Canis lupus familiaris: one gene and its partner. The protein of the gene in region 1 purifies or fractionates together with the protein of each later gene. This does not show direct contact. Links are inferred from orthologs where the notes say so. Each region holds a gene or a part of one and is shown on either strand. Other genes may lie near its edges. The genes, in order: GP6 and LYN.

Region 1 (7,972 bases):
ATGGATAAATTTTTTTTTTTTTTTTTTATTTATTTATGATAGTCACACAGAGAGAGAGAGAGGCAGAGACACAGGCAGAGGGAGAAGCAGGCTCCATGCACCGGGAGACTGACGTGGGATTCGATCCTGGGTCTCCAGGATCGTGCCCTGGGCCAAAGGCAGGCGCTAAACCGCTGCGCCACCCAGGGATCCCTGAATGGATAAATTAATCCAACAAGAACTCAATAACAGATCTTTACTGTTTATTAATTCCTACAACCACTTGCCCCTGAAAATGGATACCTTCCCATTGTGATTGGGGTCTAGGCCATTGTTGTCTTAATTCTCCTTTTCCTCCTCTGCTGATGTTGTCATTGGGTCAAACATGGTATGTCTTAAAGATGGGAGGGTTAACCAGGGAGGGCTTTGGTGGGTCCCCTACCAACACTGATTGCTGGCTCTCCACAGGAAACATTGAAAATGAGACCAAGAACCAGGTGAAGTGTAAGAGGGAGGAGAATTTGGACTCTTCCTCATAGAAAATGTTATATCTTATTTCTCAGACCTGCCTTAATACTTTTATAACCTTTTACTCAGCTACATCCCAGTTATGGACTTCTGGGAAGAAATCAATGTAAAGGGGAGTGAGAATGAGGGGCAGCTAGATAGGGGGAAAGAATATGTTCAGGGAAAATAGAAGACATCCTGGAGGGAGCAGAGAAGTGTTGGGGGGGAGGGAACCACCCTACTGGATGTGGTGTCATTGCCTTACATATTTCAGTCAGCCATCCCTGAAATACTGATTACAGGATTGGATAATTTTCAGGGTCTCGCCGCATTTCTCCTTGCAGATGATGTCTTGGAGGACATCCAACTTAGGGACAGACAGATGGACATGCATGTGAGTCTCTCCTCAGCTACCTCTTCTGCTCTAATCACCTTCTACAGATTCTCCTTTTTACTTTGTATTTCTGTGCTGACAGGACCCTATAGAGGAAGATCCTCAAGAGGTGACCTATGTTCAGCTACACCAGAAGGCCCTCACAAGGAGTGTGGATACATTTTTCTCCTGAACTAATGAGAACTTCTCTGGCCAGCCCTGTGTGTATGCCACCCTCACCTTGTCCTGAGTGCAGAGCCAGGACTGCCCATATAGACTCCAGTATTCAAGTGAGCCTTAACAAAGGTGCAGCTCAATGGGGTGTCCTACTTATGTCCCTCAACACAAGCTATCAGCTTGTAACTCCCCAAAGACTCAAGACTAGAGTCAACTTGTCAACTGTAAAGAAATTCCAGGACCGATCAAATATCTCTCAACAGATTGCTGGTTCCTTGTACAGTTACCCATTCAGTTGTGGAACTAGAGGGTATTATGCTGAGTGAAGTAAGTCAATTGGAGAAGGACAATCATTATATGGTTTCACTCATATGGGGAATATAAAAAATAGTGAAAGAGATTACAGGGGAAAGGAGGGAAAATGAGTGGGAAAAATTAGAGAGGGTGACAAAACATGAGAGACTCCTAACTGAGAAATGAACAAGGAATAGTAGAAGGGGAGGCGGGCGGGGGGATGGGGTGACTGGGTGATGGGTGATGGACTGAGGAGGGCACTCGACGGGATGAGCATTGGGTGTCATACTATATGTTGGCAAATCGAACTTCAATTAAAAATATATTTAAGGGGATCCCTGGGTGGCGCAGAGGTTTGGCGCCCGCCTTTGGTCCAAGGCACGATCCTGGAGACCTGGGATCGAATCCCACGTCGGGCTCCCGGTGCATGGAGCCTGCTTCTCCCTCTGCCTATGTCTCTGCCTCTCTCTCTCTCTGTGTGTGACTATAATAAATAAATAAAAAATTAAAAAAAATATATATTCAAAAAAAAAGAAAGCAAAGTGGAGTGACCCACAGGAGCAGGTGTAAAGATGCTTTGGGTCACTGAGCAGACATAATGTCTAGGCATGTTTAAAGAGCACTCATTGGTACCAAATACAAAGGAAAGTCATGAAGTGACTGTGGGAGAAGGAACCAGTACAGAGAATCTGGATGGCCATTTGGCAGTGAGTAAATTGAAGATGCACCTAACTCAAGATTTGACAATTTCCTAGTGGATACATATTTTAAAGATATTCTCACATATGTCCAGAGGGGTGCATGAGGAATGATATTTATCTCAGCATTGTTTACAGCAGAGATATTTGGACATAATGTGGCTATCCATCATTGGGACAGTGAGAGGACAAATGTGTTGAAGCAAGTACCTGTTCTGCAAACTTATGAATGGTCTGAAAACACTGAGTGTGCAATGGAAAGACAATGACTTCCACAGCATTACACAACTTACTACACAATACAATTTAAAAGATATAAAATAAAGCTTTGCAGGGATGAATGAATTCACATGGACTATTTCAGAGCTGCTCCTTGGAGATGGAGAATAAAAATGAGAACCATAGGGCAGAGATGAATTACAGAAGAGAGTGATTACCTACATGCATGTGTGCCTGTGCTAAACCAAAGGAAACCGATTATTCAGCTCCCAGAACCCAAGCTCTAACTAGAAAAATACATTTTCTTTCTTTTTTAAAGATTTTTATTTATTTGTTCATGACACACACACACACACACACACACACACACACACAGAGGCAGAGACACAGGCAGAGGGAGAAGCAGGCTCCATTCAGGGAGCCTGACATGGGACTCTATCCCGGGTCTCCAGGATCACGCCTGGGCTGAAGGCGGTGCTAAGCCGCTGAGCCACCCAGGCTACCCAAAAAATACATTTTCTTCTAAGTTCAGGTTTCCCTGTTTGAATGGGACTAAAGGTCCACCTGTTTCTCAGTCTTGTGTGAGGGTCAACGAAGTAGTGACTGAAAAGTGAGTAGGTTTACAGACATATTTGTGCACCCAAGTTTATCTTGTCCTCAGAGTCCCTCAGTGATTTAACCCAGTGGTTCTCGACTGGCCATGGTTTTGTCCCCCAGGGGACATCTGAAGATGTCCAGAGACTCGTTGGTCATCACAACTGGAGGGGGAGTTGTGCTAGTGATTTCTAGTGGATGGAGGCCAGAGATACTGCTGAGCCTCGCAGAAGCACAAGACAGCCCACCCCCACTCCAACAGGCACCTGGCTCCAATTGTCAACACTGCCAAGGTTGGGATACCCTGATCTGACCCCTATAATCTCTTCAGTCTTGGCTTTTTGCTCCTTGATTCTAGCCACATTAATCACTTCCCACTTACTTGAAAATGCCAGGCTCTTTGCCTCATCAAGGCTTTGGGGCAATGCTGAACGTATTGTTCTTCATCCATGGATATTTCTCATCACCAGGTATAATCTCAAATGTCACCCCTCCAAAGGAAAGCTCCATGAAACTGTTCCTGTTAATGAGATCCATCAGATAATATTCCTACTCCATGCCTGAAGATGCAGACATGGTGTGGTTCTAGGCTGGTGACAGAAGATAAATGAGCTTCTGTGAACTTGTGTGCAAGTCACTCTACTGAGGGCATGGCTCCAGCTTGATGATCCTCACTTAGGAAAAGCCAGGCAGATCCAGGAAGGGAGGAGAGGGCTCTGCATCCTCATCACATCCGATGTCTCTGCTCCAGCCCCTGCAGCTTCCCTCCTGGGTTACAGAGCTTTGGATGGGCTGAAGAACCATGGCCCCATCCCTGCCTGCCCTTCTGTGTCTTGGTGAGTACTGAGGATTGATCTGGGAAATGCTGAGGCACAGGCAGTAGGCTATGAGACTAAGAATGTTTAAAAAATTGCATCAGAAATGAATTTCAGGGCAATTGGTGACCTCCGAGGGCCCCTTCATTTCTTGGTTGGGAAAACTGGGACCTGGGAGGTGGTGTTTGTTATTCTGTTCTATTCCCTTCTTGGCTAGGTCAGGAAATAAATAGGTCTTCCAGTTTTGGCTACAACTTTGTCTCTATACACTGTGTTTTTTAAAAAAATTATTTATTTATTTATTCATTTAATTTTTTAAAAAGATGTTATTTATTTATTCATGAGACACACAGAGAGAGGCAGAGAAATAGGCAGAGGGAGAAGCAGGCTCCATGCAGGGAGCCTATGTGGGACTCAATCCCAGGACTATGGGATTGCACCCTGAGTCAAAGGCAGGTGCTCAACCGCTGAGCCACCCATGCATCCCTATTTAAGTTTTTTTTTTATGTGGACTTGGTGACATCAGGAGTAGATTATAGGTTTGTCAGCAAACCTGATGGCCCTGGAGAAAATAATCCTGCCATTTGCAACAACACGAATGTTCCTTGAGGGCATTATGCTAAGTGAAATAAGCCAGACAAGGAAAGAAAATGCTGCATGATCTCACTTATATGTGGAATCTAAAAAAGTCAAACTCACTAAGGCAGAGAGTAGACTGGTGGTTGCCAGGGGCTAGGGGAGGGGAAAAACAGGGAGATAGGTGGACAGAGTACAAGCTTCTAGTTATAAGATGAATAAACTCTGGGGATCTAATGCACAGCACAGTGACTATAGGCAATAATACTACAGAATATACTTGAAATTTACTGAGAGAGTAGATCTTAAGCATTTTCATCAAACCAAACCAAACCAAATCAATCTATGCAAGGTGGAAGATGAGGTAATTAGGTTGATTGTGGTGATCATTTGACAGTGTGTACATCTATCAAATCATCATGTCAGATACCCTAGATAGACAGTTTTTCTTTGCCACTTATACTTCCATAAGGCTGGAGTAAGAGTCTCTCAGAATGAGATTGGTGGTAGGATTATGTGTTTTTTTATTGCCTGCTCCTGCAGGTCTTGTGCAGTTTCCTTATTCAGGGGAGTCTTATTGCTAAAAGGACAGAAGCTCCAAGGCCAAGCAGGAAGGAACAGCTGTATTATGTGGATAAGAAAACAAACCACGAGCACAAACCGCCTGTCAGTCAGTCATTAACACACACTCATGTGGCATTTACTGTGGGCTAGATACGACAAGGTAGGCCCTCTCAATACCCCCATTTTACAGATGAGAAGGCTGAGGCTCAGAGGCAGTTTAGAAATTTGTTTAGGGGGATCCCTGGGTGGCGCAGCGGTTTGGCGCCTGTCTTTGGCTCAGGGCACGATCCTGGAGACCCGGGATCGAATCCCACGTCAGGCTCCCGGTGCATGGAGCCTGCTTCTCCCTCTGCTTGTGTCTCTGCCTTTCTCTCTCTCTCTCTCTGTGTGTGACTATCATAAATAAAAAAAAAAAAAAAAAAGAAACTTGTTTAGGTCACACATCTAGGGATCAAATAAACTAAGTTTATTTGAGTTTAGTGCCAAGTTCACATTGTTGGTAACTAAAATATGTGGCTGGTGTCTGAGTCTACCTTTTCCCAGCTGTAGGATGGTGGACAGGATACTGTCTCATCTCCATGGCCCGATTATGAAATGGGACTAATCATGGTCTCTAACCAGTAGTACTGTGGTGATTCAGAGTCCATATAGAAGTGCTCAGAAGGGTGCTGGGAGTATTTCTGGTCCTGTTAGAAGTTTGGAGTAGAAACCCACAAAAGGACCAAGGTGGGGTTGTGTTGGGCAGCGGACAAAGATGTGGGTAGAGCTTGGGTACGCATACCAGGTAAAGTACAGCATGCTCAGTGAAATTTAATTTCAGATAAACAACAAATAATTTTTAAAGTCTAAGTATATACCATTATATTTCATGGGTCATACTATACAAAAAAATTCATTGTTTATCGGAAATTCATATTTAAGTGGGAGTCCTATGTTTTTATTTGCTAAATCTGGCAATCCTAGCAAGGCTAAAATGGGGAATGCTACCAACACAACAAAAAAGTTGAACAAAAAAAAGTTCAGCTTGAAAGAAGAAAAGCTTTGGTCAATGTAGAGAAGGTAGAAGGCAAAATGCGGCAAAGTTACCTGCAAGGCAGAAAATGGAGTCTATAGATTATGTGGTTTGATAGGTGTGCAAAAGTACATGGGGAGGCTATTTAGAAGTGCGGAAAGAATTAGACACAGGGTCGAGGAAAAACTATGCAGAGGCACTAAACTGGACAAATATTGCTTCTAGGGAAAATAATTAGGAAAAATATACAGGTGCAATACTACACTCCTTTTTTTTTTTTCAATACTACACTCCTGAGTTGTGAATAATGTTTGCACAATCATAATAATTGCAGGGTATTGATTTAAACAAAAAATTAAAACAATGGGAAATTCATGATTAAGACAGCCAGTGATCTCTAGACATGATACAATGCAAGAGAGCCTATCTGGACCTACTGCACAGCATGGTGATTATAGCCAAGAACACCTTGTTGTTGAACATTCTAAATGTTCTCACCACAAAAAAGAAATGGTAATTATGTGACAGAAGGATGGAAGTATTAGCTAATGTTGTGGTGGTAATCATTTTGTGATATATAAATGTATTAAATCAACACCTACACCTTAAATTTACACAATGTTATGTATCGTATATCAATTATATCTTGATAAAGCTGAGAAAAAAAATAAAGACCACATCCTGCACACAGCCCCCTTTCCAGAGAGGAGATAATTCCCTTTACAGTTGTCAACCAGTGTGTGCATGGGGAGGAGGGGCAAGGAATTCGTGACTGGCTTTTTAAAAATTGTAATAAAATAACAAACTCAACATAAACTTTATCATTAATGACATTTAGTACATTCACAATGCATACAACCATCACTTCTATCTCATTCTAAGGCACTGTCACCAGTCTAAAAGGAAATCATGCCCATGAAAATCACTCCTCAATGCCCCTGCCACCCACCCCCCAGTTTCTGGCAACCACTAATCTCTCCATGTCTGAGCAGATTTACCTAGTGAGCATGTTTCAGATAAATGGAATCATACAATATGTGGCCTTCTGTGGCTGGCTTCTTCTGGCACTCAAATTATGTGAGTGTGTGTCCTTAAGCAAATGAGGACAGAAGAAAGTGACTGCCTGAAGATGTGGCATTACCTGCTCTGCGTGCAGAAGTGTGGCCTCCAGGAGATGCTAGCAGGTGGTGCTTTTCTTCTCTGCTCAGGGCTGTGTCTGGGGCAGGTGGTGCAAGCACAGCTTGGTGAGTCCTTCCCCTGGAATCCTCTGGATCTGGGTGCCTGCACAAGGGCCAGGAGGGTGGGAGGAGGGGAGCACCCAGGAGGAGGTCTGTTTGGAAATTCTGCTTCCCTTCCAGGTACCCTGCCCAAGCCCTCCCTCCAGGCTCTGCCTAGCTCCCTAGCACCCCTGAAGACGCAGGTGACCATCCGCTGCCAGGGGCCTCCAGACGTGGACTTGTACCGCCTGGAGAAGCTGAGGTCCCGGAAATACCAGGATCGGCCTGTCCTCTTCATCAAGACCATGGAGGAAAGTTTCGCTGGGTGTTACCGCTGCTCCTACCAGAACGGGACCCTCTGGTCTCCCCCCAGCAACCAGCTGGAGCTGGTGGCCACTGGTACCTGGAAGGGCATGGGAGGGGGCCACCTGTGGCCTCAGGGCTCCAGGAGGGTGAAGAGGGGGATGATGATGACAGCGAACCCCGAGTCCTGGGAGGCTGGGGTTAGGGTGGGGAGCTATGTTTAGGGGAGGTGGCAAAATCCACAGTGATTCACATAAGGAATATGTCAATGCAATACCTTTCCAAAACAATCAAAATCAATGCGAAAACATCCACACTGAACAAAGCATCATACTTTTTTTAAAAGAAGATTTTATTTATTTATTTGAGAGAAAGAAGAGAGGGAGAAGCAGACTCCCCTCTGAGCAGGAAGCTGGAACCCGAGCTGATTCAGGACCCCAGGATCATGACCTGAACTGAAAGCAGTTGCTTAACCAACTGAGCCACCCAGGTCCCGCAAAACATTTTAAGTAAAGACAGAACCTGGCAGTGTCCTTTCAAGCCATGCTTAAGCCTTATGCAAAAGGCAACATGTATACCCTCTATCCACGTTCTAATGCATTATTGTTTATTTTTATTTTTTTGGTGGAATAAAGTGTTCTCAG
Region 2 (8,236 bases), on another chromosome or scaffold:
TTGACTTGTGTGAGGTGTGAACTGTAAAAAGGAGATGAAACAGAATTAAAAGACCCTCTCAGGGTCCCTGGATGGCTCAGTGGTTGAGCATCTGCCTTCGGCTCAGGTCGTGATCCCAGGGTCCTGGGATCGAGTTCCGCACTGGGGTCCCTGCCAGGAGCCTGCTTGTCCTTCTACCTATGTCACTGCTTCTCTCTCTGTATCTCTCATGAATAAATAAATAAAAAATTTTAAAATAATAAAAAATAATAAAAGACCCTCTAAGCTACGAGAATGGAGACTGCTGCCCAGTGTTCTACAACCCAATGGGGGCAGAGCCTATAGCATTAAGAAATACACCCTCAGATGGATTCTATAAGGTTTCCTCATTCATATATTTTGATGAAACATCATTTATATAAGTCAGAATCATGAAAAATGAACAGTTACCATGACATGAATCAGTAATCTCTTCCCATAAATGTTCAGCTCCTATCACGGCAACTCATGATTTGTGGACCTTGTGAGAGGTTGGGCCAGAGAAGAGAGACTTGGGACTATGTGACTGTTCATAAAGACAGTCAAACAATCAACCTTTTGGAAAAGTTCTATACAAACGAAACTACATCCTGATGGTAAATAGAACTTCCAAGAAATAGCTTTGTGGCAAATAATGAACATTGACAGCTTACTAAGTACTAAAGAAAGTGAAGCAGAGAACTAGATTGAAGAGAAAGTCTAAGAACAAAAAATAAAGGCTATATTATTGGGCCCTGCAACTGATCGGCATAGACGTACCTTTCTAACACCTCATCTCAAGTCATCATCTGAACTTGCTATTCTAAATTACATGACAGCCCTTCCAGCTAACGTAAACAAAGACATCCAAAAGAAGGTCCAAGTCTTTAAATGGGGCTGTTCCAAAAATTCTAATTCCTCAACGGGCAGATTCCCACACATTTCCTACACTTGGGCTTCTCCCCTAAATGGGAACTTACTCAAAATAAATTTCAGAAATGATGATAGAGTCAACTCAACATTTCACAATTTAAGTATCAGGAAACTGGGCAGGTGTAAGAAATCTTTCAATAGTTCTGACTGGAAAAAAAAAAAAAAAAGAAACTTCCTCTTCTATGCCCTTCTGTTCACCACCAATCTTTAAAGATGGTAGGCAATGTGTGTCCATTGTAGAAGTGTGGGCTTTGAAGGGTGCCTGGCCCATCACAGGTGCTCAGTAAAGGAGTGCATGCTTTAACGAGTATCTTATGGGCCCTGTCTCCCTACGTTATGTTTTCACCTCAAATGATGCTCTCACTGTTATAACAACCACCCAAGGAGGCTTGTAGGGTTCATGGGAGACACTTCTAGCAGCGGCTGGAGGCAATCCTTTGGTAAAGTATTACTTGCACACTTCTATATCAACCAATAGGCCCTGATAGCTCCCAAGGCAGTCACTGGAAGCGCTTGGGCAAGAGCCAATACAGGTGTCACCCTGGCAGTTATCAGAGCCACCCCCTCCCAAAGCTTCCCAAGCAGGAAGCCCCTCCCCAAGCAGGAAGCACACTGAAAGGCAAAGAAACCCATCTCCCTCAGTTTGCTTGCCTTAAGTGCCCTACTTGATGGTGCAATTATCAAGTGATAGAAGAAAATTACCCTGTGGTTCTCTATTTAATAATGTTTATTAAGTGATCATTTCTTTGCTTTTATGTAATTGAGTACCTACCACCAGAGCAAAGGCAGAAAAGTGGGGAACGTTCTAAAGTTGGAGCAGAAAACACACTTGCTCTGCCCAGTAGTGCCACTTAACCAGGTCTGTAACCTTAGACACCAAACCTCTTTTTTCTGTACCTGTCCCTGCCTACCCTGGGATCCAGGAGAGGTTCAAATGAAATCAGAGCTCAGGAATCAGAGCTCAGAGCTTCTGACAAGCGAAAGGTGTGAGCAGTCATTGCCAGGTAGAGCCCAAGAGAGGTGAGACCACCATTGTCATCAATGTGTCATCGGTCAATGTCCCAACTAATGACTGTAGTGACCTTCCACTGTTAATATTATCCATGCCTGAGGACGTGGAGGTCATTGAGATCAGTATTGTAAGCTAGATGTAACAATACTTATTGTAGACATGTACACTGTTGTGTTCTTATTTATACTAATTCACATTTGTATGGGTTTGTTTATGGATAGTATAGCTTAATGTTGTTAACTTACAACTCTATATATTCATTTGAACCAACTGGTATCTCATGTTCTGGTGATTTATTTTTAAAACAAATATAAAGAAACTAAAGGGCTTAGAGAGTCACTGATTCACAAAACTGGACCACTTTTCTGCTAAAAAATGCCATTGGGGGTGCAGGGGTATTGCAAAGTCTTCACATATTTTGGCAACACCAACAGCTCTAAGATAAAGTGGGTCTTTTTGATTGGGCAAACTCCCTTTGCAGGCTACATGACATCACTCCAAATCAAGCCCTTGCTCCCAGGGATACACCCCAATAACCTTTCCTATGTAGAGATTACCACTTAGAACACTGACACTGGGATAACTTGACAGTCAAAAATCCCCGTTTTAGGGGCACCTGGGTGGCTCACCTGAGCATCTGCCTTTGGCTCAGGTCGTGAACCCAAGGTCCTAGGATCGAGTCCCACAAGAGGCTCCCTGTGTGTCTCTCATGAATAAATAAAATCTTAAACAACAACAACAATAACCCTGTTTTAAAAACCGGGACAGAGAGGGCCAGGTTCAAATGCTTTAGAAACCACCACCTTGTTCCTTGGCCTTGCACAGAGCCAAACTCAGAGCCAAACTTCACTCCCTCTTCCGAGTAATCTGGACTGTGATAGGCACTGGGGCTAGTGTTTTGGACGAGACAGACAAAGTCGTTTTCACCCACCTTTCATTGCAGTGGTGAATACGGACTCTACATGCAAACGAATCAGAATATAACTGAATACTGCTCCGAAGGAAATGTTAGCTGAATCAAAGGGCCAAGGCATTTACCCAACTTAGTCCATATCACAGTTCTGGTAAATGATGGGAGAGACCCAAACGTGGGTTTTCCAGAGCCTGTTTCTTTCCTTACATGGGCTGACCTCTACACTTCGCTCAGGAAGAGAGTTACCTCACTCTGTATCCAAAGAAGCCAGGTCACCAAGAGCCTCAAGACATTTACCTCCTTACCTTCAAAGGAAAACCTTCAGTTCAGGACTAACTGAACCCCACCCTTTTCCAGCAGAGTTTACTTTACTTAGGAAGGGCTTCTGGGGACTTAGGGAATTCCTATACTCTTTCAGTGCCTATTACCCTCTGCAGTGCTTTAGCTTTTAAGATACGGGGACAACAGGCCTGCCCTCCTGAGCTCTGCAGGCAGCCAGCCTGGGGGGCAGCCAACAAATCAGAAGTAAGTCAAACATCATTAACTAGTGCTTAGCGTGAGACTCCCAGACCCTAGCTTTGCAGACAGCAGACCTCTGGTGTATTTATTAAGCAGCTTTACTAGCTAGGAAGGTCAGTTGGCTGAATCAGACATGTAGTCTTAGACTTAAAATCAACAAATTGTGAAGAACCAGGGAACCGTGTTTTAACGGATAGAATTATCTGCAATAGGGATCCCTGGGTGGCGCAGGGGTTTGGCGCCTGCCTTTGGCCCAGGGCGCGATCCTGGAGACCCGGGATCGAATCCCACATCGGGCTCCCTGCATGGAGCCTGCTTCTCCCTCTGCCTGTGTCTCTGCCTCTCTCTCTGTGACTATCATAAATAAATAAACATTTTTAAAAAATTAAAAAAAAAAGAATTATCTGCAATAAATAATAACAGCGCCATTTATGAAATGCCTATGTACGCACTCGGGGCTTTACATGCAATAAATAGCTCAGAAGGTAAATATGTTCTCCCAGAGACGAAAAAACCCATACAGGTAATTTCAATAATAGGCCCAGGTTGACACTCAGCTAGAAAACTGGAAGGCCCAAATTCAACTGGGGTTTTTGGCAAAGAAGTTGGGTGGGTTTGTGATAATTCTCTTCTCTCTCTCTCTCTCTCTCTCTCTCTCTCACACACACACACACACACACACACACACGGATACACGGAGAAATGGAAACACAACCAGACGACCACGTCAGCTATTAGTGGGAACATATATGCGCGGCTCGGAGGAGATGCCGCAGTGGCCAAGATAACGCAGGAAAGCGGGAACTGACGCCTACGCCCTCCCCCCAGGGCGCAGGAAAGGCAACCCCTGAATTCTTAAAATAACTCTCGCTTCCTCTGGGCCGCGGGAGGCTCGGGACTGCTCCTCCGCCGGCCGGGAGGCGCCGGGCTCAGCGGGAGGGCGCGCACCAGCCTCGGCCGCAGCCCCCCGACCTCACGCTCCGCCCGGGGCTCCCGAGGAGCGCAGCCGCCCGCCGGCCTGGCGGGGAGCCCGGGCCGAGCCCCGTCCCTCACCTCGGGGAGCCCGGGGCCCCGCGGCGAGACCCGACCGCGCGAGCCGAGGAGTCCCGGGTCCCCGGCGCGCCCGCCCCGCGCCTCCCCTCCCCCGCGCCCCTCCCTGCGCCCCCCCGCCCCCCTGCGCGCCGCGGCGGGGAGACACCTGCGGAGCGTCCCCCGCGCCCCAGGGCCCGGCCACCCACGGGCTGGAGGCATCTGGCGCCCTCACGGCGGGGCCCGCGCCGGGCACTCACCAGCTCCGGCTGCAAGCTGCGGGGCGGCGGCGGCGGCGCTCCACGGTGACTCGAGCGCAGGGCGGGGGGCGCGACGGGGCGGCCCGGCGGGGCCGGCGCGGGGCAGGCTGCGGGCGCGGGGCGCGGGGCGCGGGGTCGCGGCCCGGAGGCTGCGCGCGCGGGGCCCGGAGGCGCCACGGCAGGGGGCGAGCGGCGGACGGCCCCGAGCGGCGGGAGAGGAACTGGCTGTCGCTGGGCTCGGCCGAGAGGTCCCAGCTACTTCCTGGTGCTCGGATTTGCATACCGCGCCGGGAGGCGGGGAAGTGACCGCTTGGCCCCTGCCCAAGGTTTGGGTCTCCGGTGTGGCCGTCGCGCGCGCCCTGAAGGCAGGGAAACCTCGCCTCGGCGTGCGGCTCCGCGGAGGGGAGCGGCCGGGGTCCGACCTCCTCCCGTAGCGGGGGCGGAAGGAGCGTCCGGGGGCATCCTCCGGGGCCTGGACGTGGAGCCCGGACGTGGAGCCCGGACGTGGAGCCCGGCGGCAGAGCCTCTCGCGCGCGCCTCCTTTGCTTCCTTTCCAACCGATTCGCCGTAAGGTGTTGGGGAACCGGGAGCCCCTGGCAGCGGGGGCGGGGCGCGCTCGGATCCCCGACATCTGGAGGGCTCGGGAAGGGGGATGCGGTGCGGAGCGGAGGCCGGGGTCTCGCGGAGCGCTTAGTAGCGGGTGCAGAGTAAGCTCCTTCACGGGGGACACGGGGACTTTCAGGGTGTAAGGCCGGGGGAGAACGGCCTGCCCAATCATTCAGTGCCTCACGACTTCGATTTCCTCCCAGGAGGATGGAGATGAGGGTGCCTACCTCGCAGCGTCACTGGGAGGAAGGAATAAATGCCTCCCGCGAGGGGCTCGCTCCGTGCCCAGCGCACAGCCGCGGTTCTCCGCTGCTGTCCGCGTCCTCGCGTGGAGCGCACTGCCTGGCACACAGCAAGCGCATAATCGATGTTTGTGGGTTGTCAAGCCCAGGCTCCAACCCCAGTAAATGCCGCACACGTACCCAAGGTTATGATATTAGCCCCAGTCACAGCGGCGGCCCCTTGCTCTAAGCGAGATGCGCTGGGCTCCCAGCGTTACAGTCCGCTGTGGGACTTCCCTGGAAATAAACAGCGCCCTGGAGGAGATTCAGTCTTTGTATTAATAATAGCAAACACACCGGGCCTATCGGGTGCCGGGCATCGTGCTAACCGCTTTAGATTGACTACCTTCCTTTAACATGTTCTCCTTTTTTCTGTGATTCTTCTTTTTAAAATATCTTTTAAATCAAGGTATACTTGATCTACACTGTCACCTTGATGGTGATCCAACCAGCCTGTCCGTTGATGCCGGGCTCACTAGTGTAGCTGCCATCCGTCTCCACACAACGCTCTTGTAATACCATTGACTGCGTTCCCTGTGCTGTACCTTTCATCCCCCTGACTTACTCATTCCGTAACTGGAAGCCTCTTAGTTCCCACTCCTCTGCGCCTCCTTTGCCCATCCTCCCACCCCCATTCCCTCTGGCAACCATCAGTTTGCCCTCTGTTGTTTGGCGGTCTGTTTCTGCTTTGTTCATTTGTTTTGCTTTTTAGAGTCCACATATAAGTGAAATCATATGATATTTGTCTTTCTCTGTCTGACTTATTTCAATCAGCATAATGCCCTCTAGATCCATCCCTGTCACAAATGATAAGATCTCGTTCTATTTTTATGACTGAATAATGTTCTATTGTGTGTGTATATATGTACATATTATTTTTAATTTTTTGAGGGACCTCTATACTGTTTTCCACAGGGGCTGCATCAATTTACATCCCCACCCACAGTGCACAAGGATTCCTTTTTCTCCACATCCTCACCAACCCTTGTTATTTTTTGCCCTTTTTTAAATTATAGTCATTCTAACAGGTGTGGGGTGCTGTCCCATTGGGATTTTAATTTGTATTTCCCTGAAGATAAGTGAAGTTGAGCATCTTTTCATGTGTCTGTTGGCCATCTGTATGTCTTCTTTGGCAAGCTATTTGTTCAGGTCCCCTGCTCGTTTGTTAATCGGATCATTTTCGTTTTTTTGGCATTGAGTTGTGTTTTGAATCAGATATATCATTTCCAAATATCTTCTCCCATTCAGGAGGTTGCCTTTTCATTAAAATATTTCCTTTGCCGTGCAGAAGCTTTTTATTTTGGTGTAGTCCCAATAATTGACTTTTGGTTTTATTTCCCTTGCCTCAGGCGACACGTCTAGAAAGATGGCTCTAGCTGAGCTCCAAGTTTACTGTCTCTGTTTTCTACTAGGACTCTTATAGTTTCAGGTCTTACAGTTTAGGTCTTTAATTCATTTTGAGTTTATTTTTGTGTATGATGTAAGAAAGTGGACCAATTTCATTCTTTTGCATATAACCATTTCTTTCTCCCAGCACAATCTATTGAAGGGATTGTCTTTTCCCCACTGTATATTCTTACTTTGGTTATTATAAGTGTGGGTTATTAATAACATTTTCAGGAGGCTAGCTCCCCTTGAGGCTACAGCCACGGTCCCGCGGTCGAGTGGCCACCTTAACATAATCCTATACAGCAGTAGTTTATTACTGGTAACAGACAGCCAAGGTTTGCAATCTGCTGCCTCAAAAAACAAGAAGTAGGATGGTTTATACCTGTGACGTTCACTAGTATGTAGCCGCTTAGTTTCCTGCTGAAGAGGAAGGGATGGGTTACCTGTTGGAAGGTAGTGGATGAATGAGTGGAATCTGTCATGGGTCCTATGGAATAATTCACTACCTGAGAGTCCATTTTCTGGACCTTTCTTCAGGATGACCTTTCAAGTATATTGGCCCTAAATTAAAATAGCTACTATTACCAACAAGTCCTTGAGATCCTGGCAAAAGGCATGTGACTGGGATGCAAGATGTTTAGTGTTGGTTAATCCATCTGGAATGTCCTGTCAGTGTTTTTTGGTAAAATGTCTGATGGAACAAGGAACAAAGCATCATCAGGCAGAGCTAGGCTTGCACTCAGCTCTAACCACGTCTGGCCCCTTACATACAAGCATCCTGCCTAAGTTTGTCTCTTTATTCTTACTTTTTTGGGGAAAATCAATGTTCATTCCCACTTCTCAGGTTGCATTCATATATACTGAATACTTCCTCACTCACCCTCTATATTTGTTTTCCATAAGTGCCATGAAAGTTCCATGTTTTGGAAAAGCTTTATTTAAAGACTCCATGGGAATCGTTGTTTTCTAGATATCTAGAGCACTTGGCAGTGTGCGACATTCTTGGTAAACTAGACTTAGCTCCTGTCCAACATGGTTGCCTTTGTTTCACAGGGTAGCTTTCTGTCCTCAACTGCTGATAAATAGCAAACCCCTCTTTGGAAGCCATTGCTTCTTGTATTTGTCTCTTTCCCACTGCACTTGTCAAAAATTCTATTAGGTACTTTAGGGGGTGCCTGGCTGGCTCAGTCGGTAGAGCATGCGACCGTTGTTCTCGGGGTTATGAGTTCGAGCCCTACACTGGGTGTAGAGATTGCTTAAAAATAAAATCTTTAAACAAAAAAGTTCTATTAGGGGC

The links.
Region 2: the proteins of GP6 (region 1) and LYN purify together in Homo sapiens (affinity purification with western blotting; 5 studies listed by BioGRID and IntAct, with this or other methods). This does not show direct contact. The link is inferred for Canis lupus familiaris from reciprocal best matches to the Homo sapiens genes GP6 and LYN.

The regions. Positions count from the first base shown.
Region 1 is NC_049222.1:103,344,789-103,352,760, forward strand, and holds the start of GP6 (platelet glycoprotein VI), read left to right. Parts: upstream 1-3,502; 5' UTR 3,503-3,643; coding exon of another isoform or gene 3,644-3,677; intron 3,678-6,800; exon of another isoform or gene 6,801-6,904; 5' UTR 6,905-6,907; coding exon 6,908-7,052; intron 7,053-7,166; coding exon 7,167-7,424; intron 7,425-7,972.
Region 2 is NC_049250.1:7,827,460-7,835,695, reverse strand, and holds the start of LYN (tyrosine-protein kinase Lyn), read right to left. Parts: upstream 4,746-8,236; 5' UTR 4,664-4,745; intron 1-4,663. UniProt on the Homo sapiens protein: Non-receptor tyrosine-protein kinase that transmits signals from cell surface receptors and plays an important role in the regulation of innate and adaptive immune responses, hematopoiesis, responses to growth factors and cytokines, integrin signaling, but also responses to DNA damage and genotoxic agents.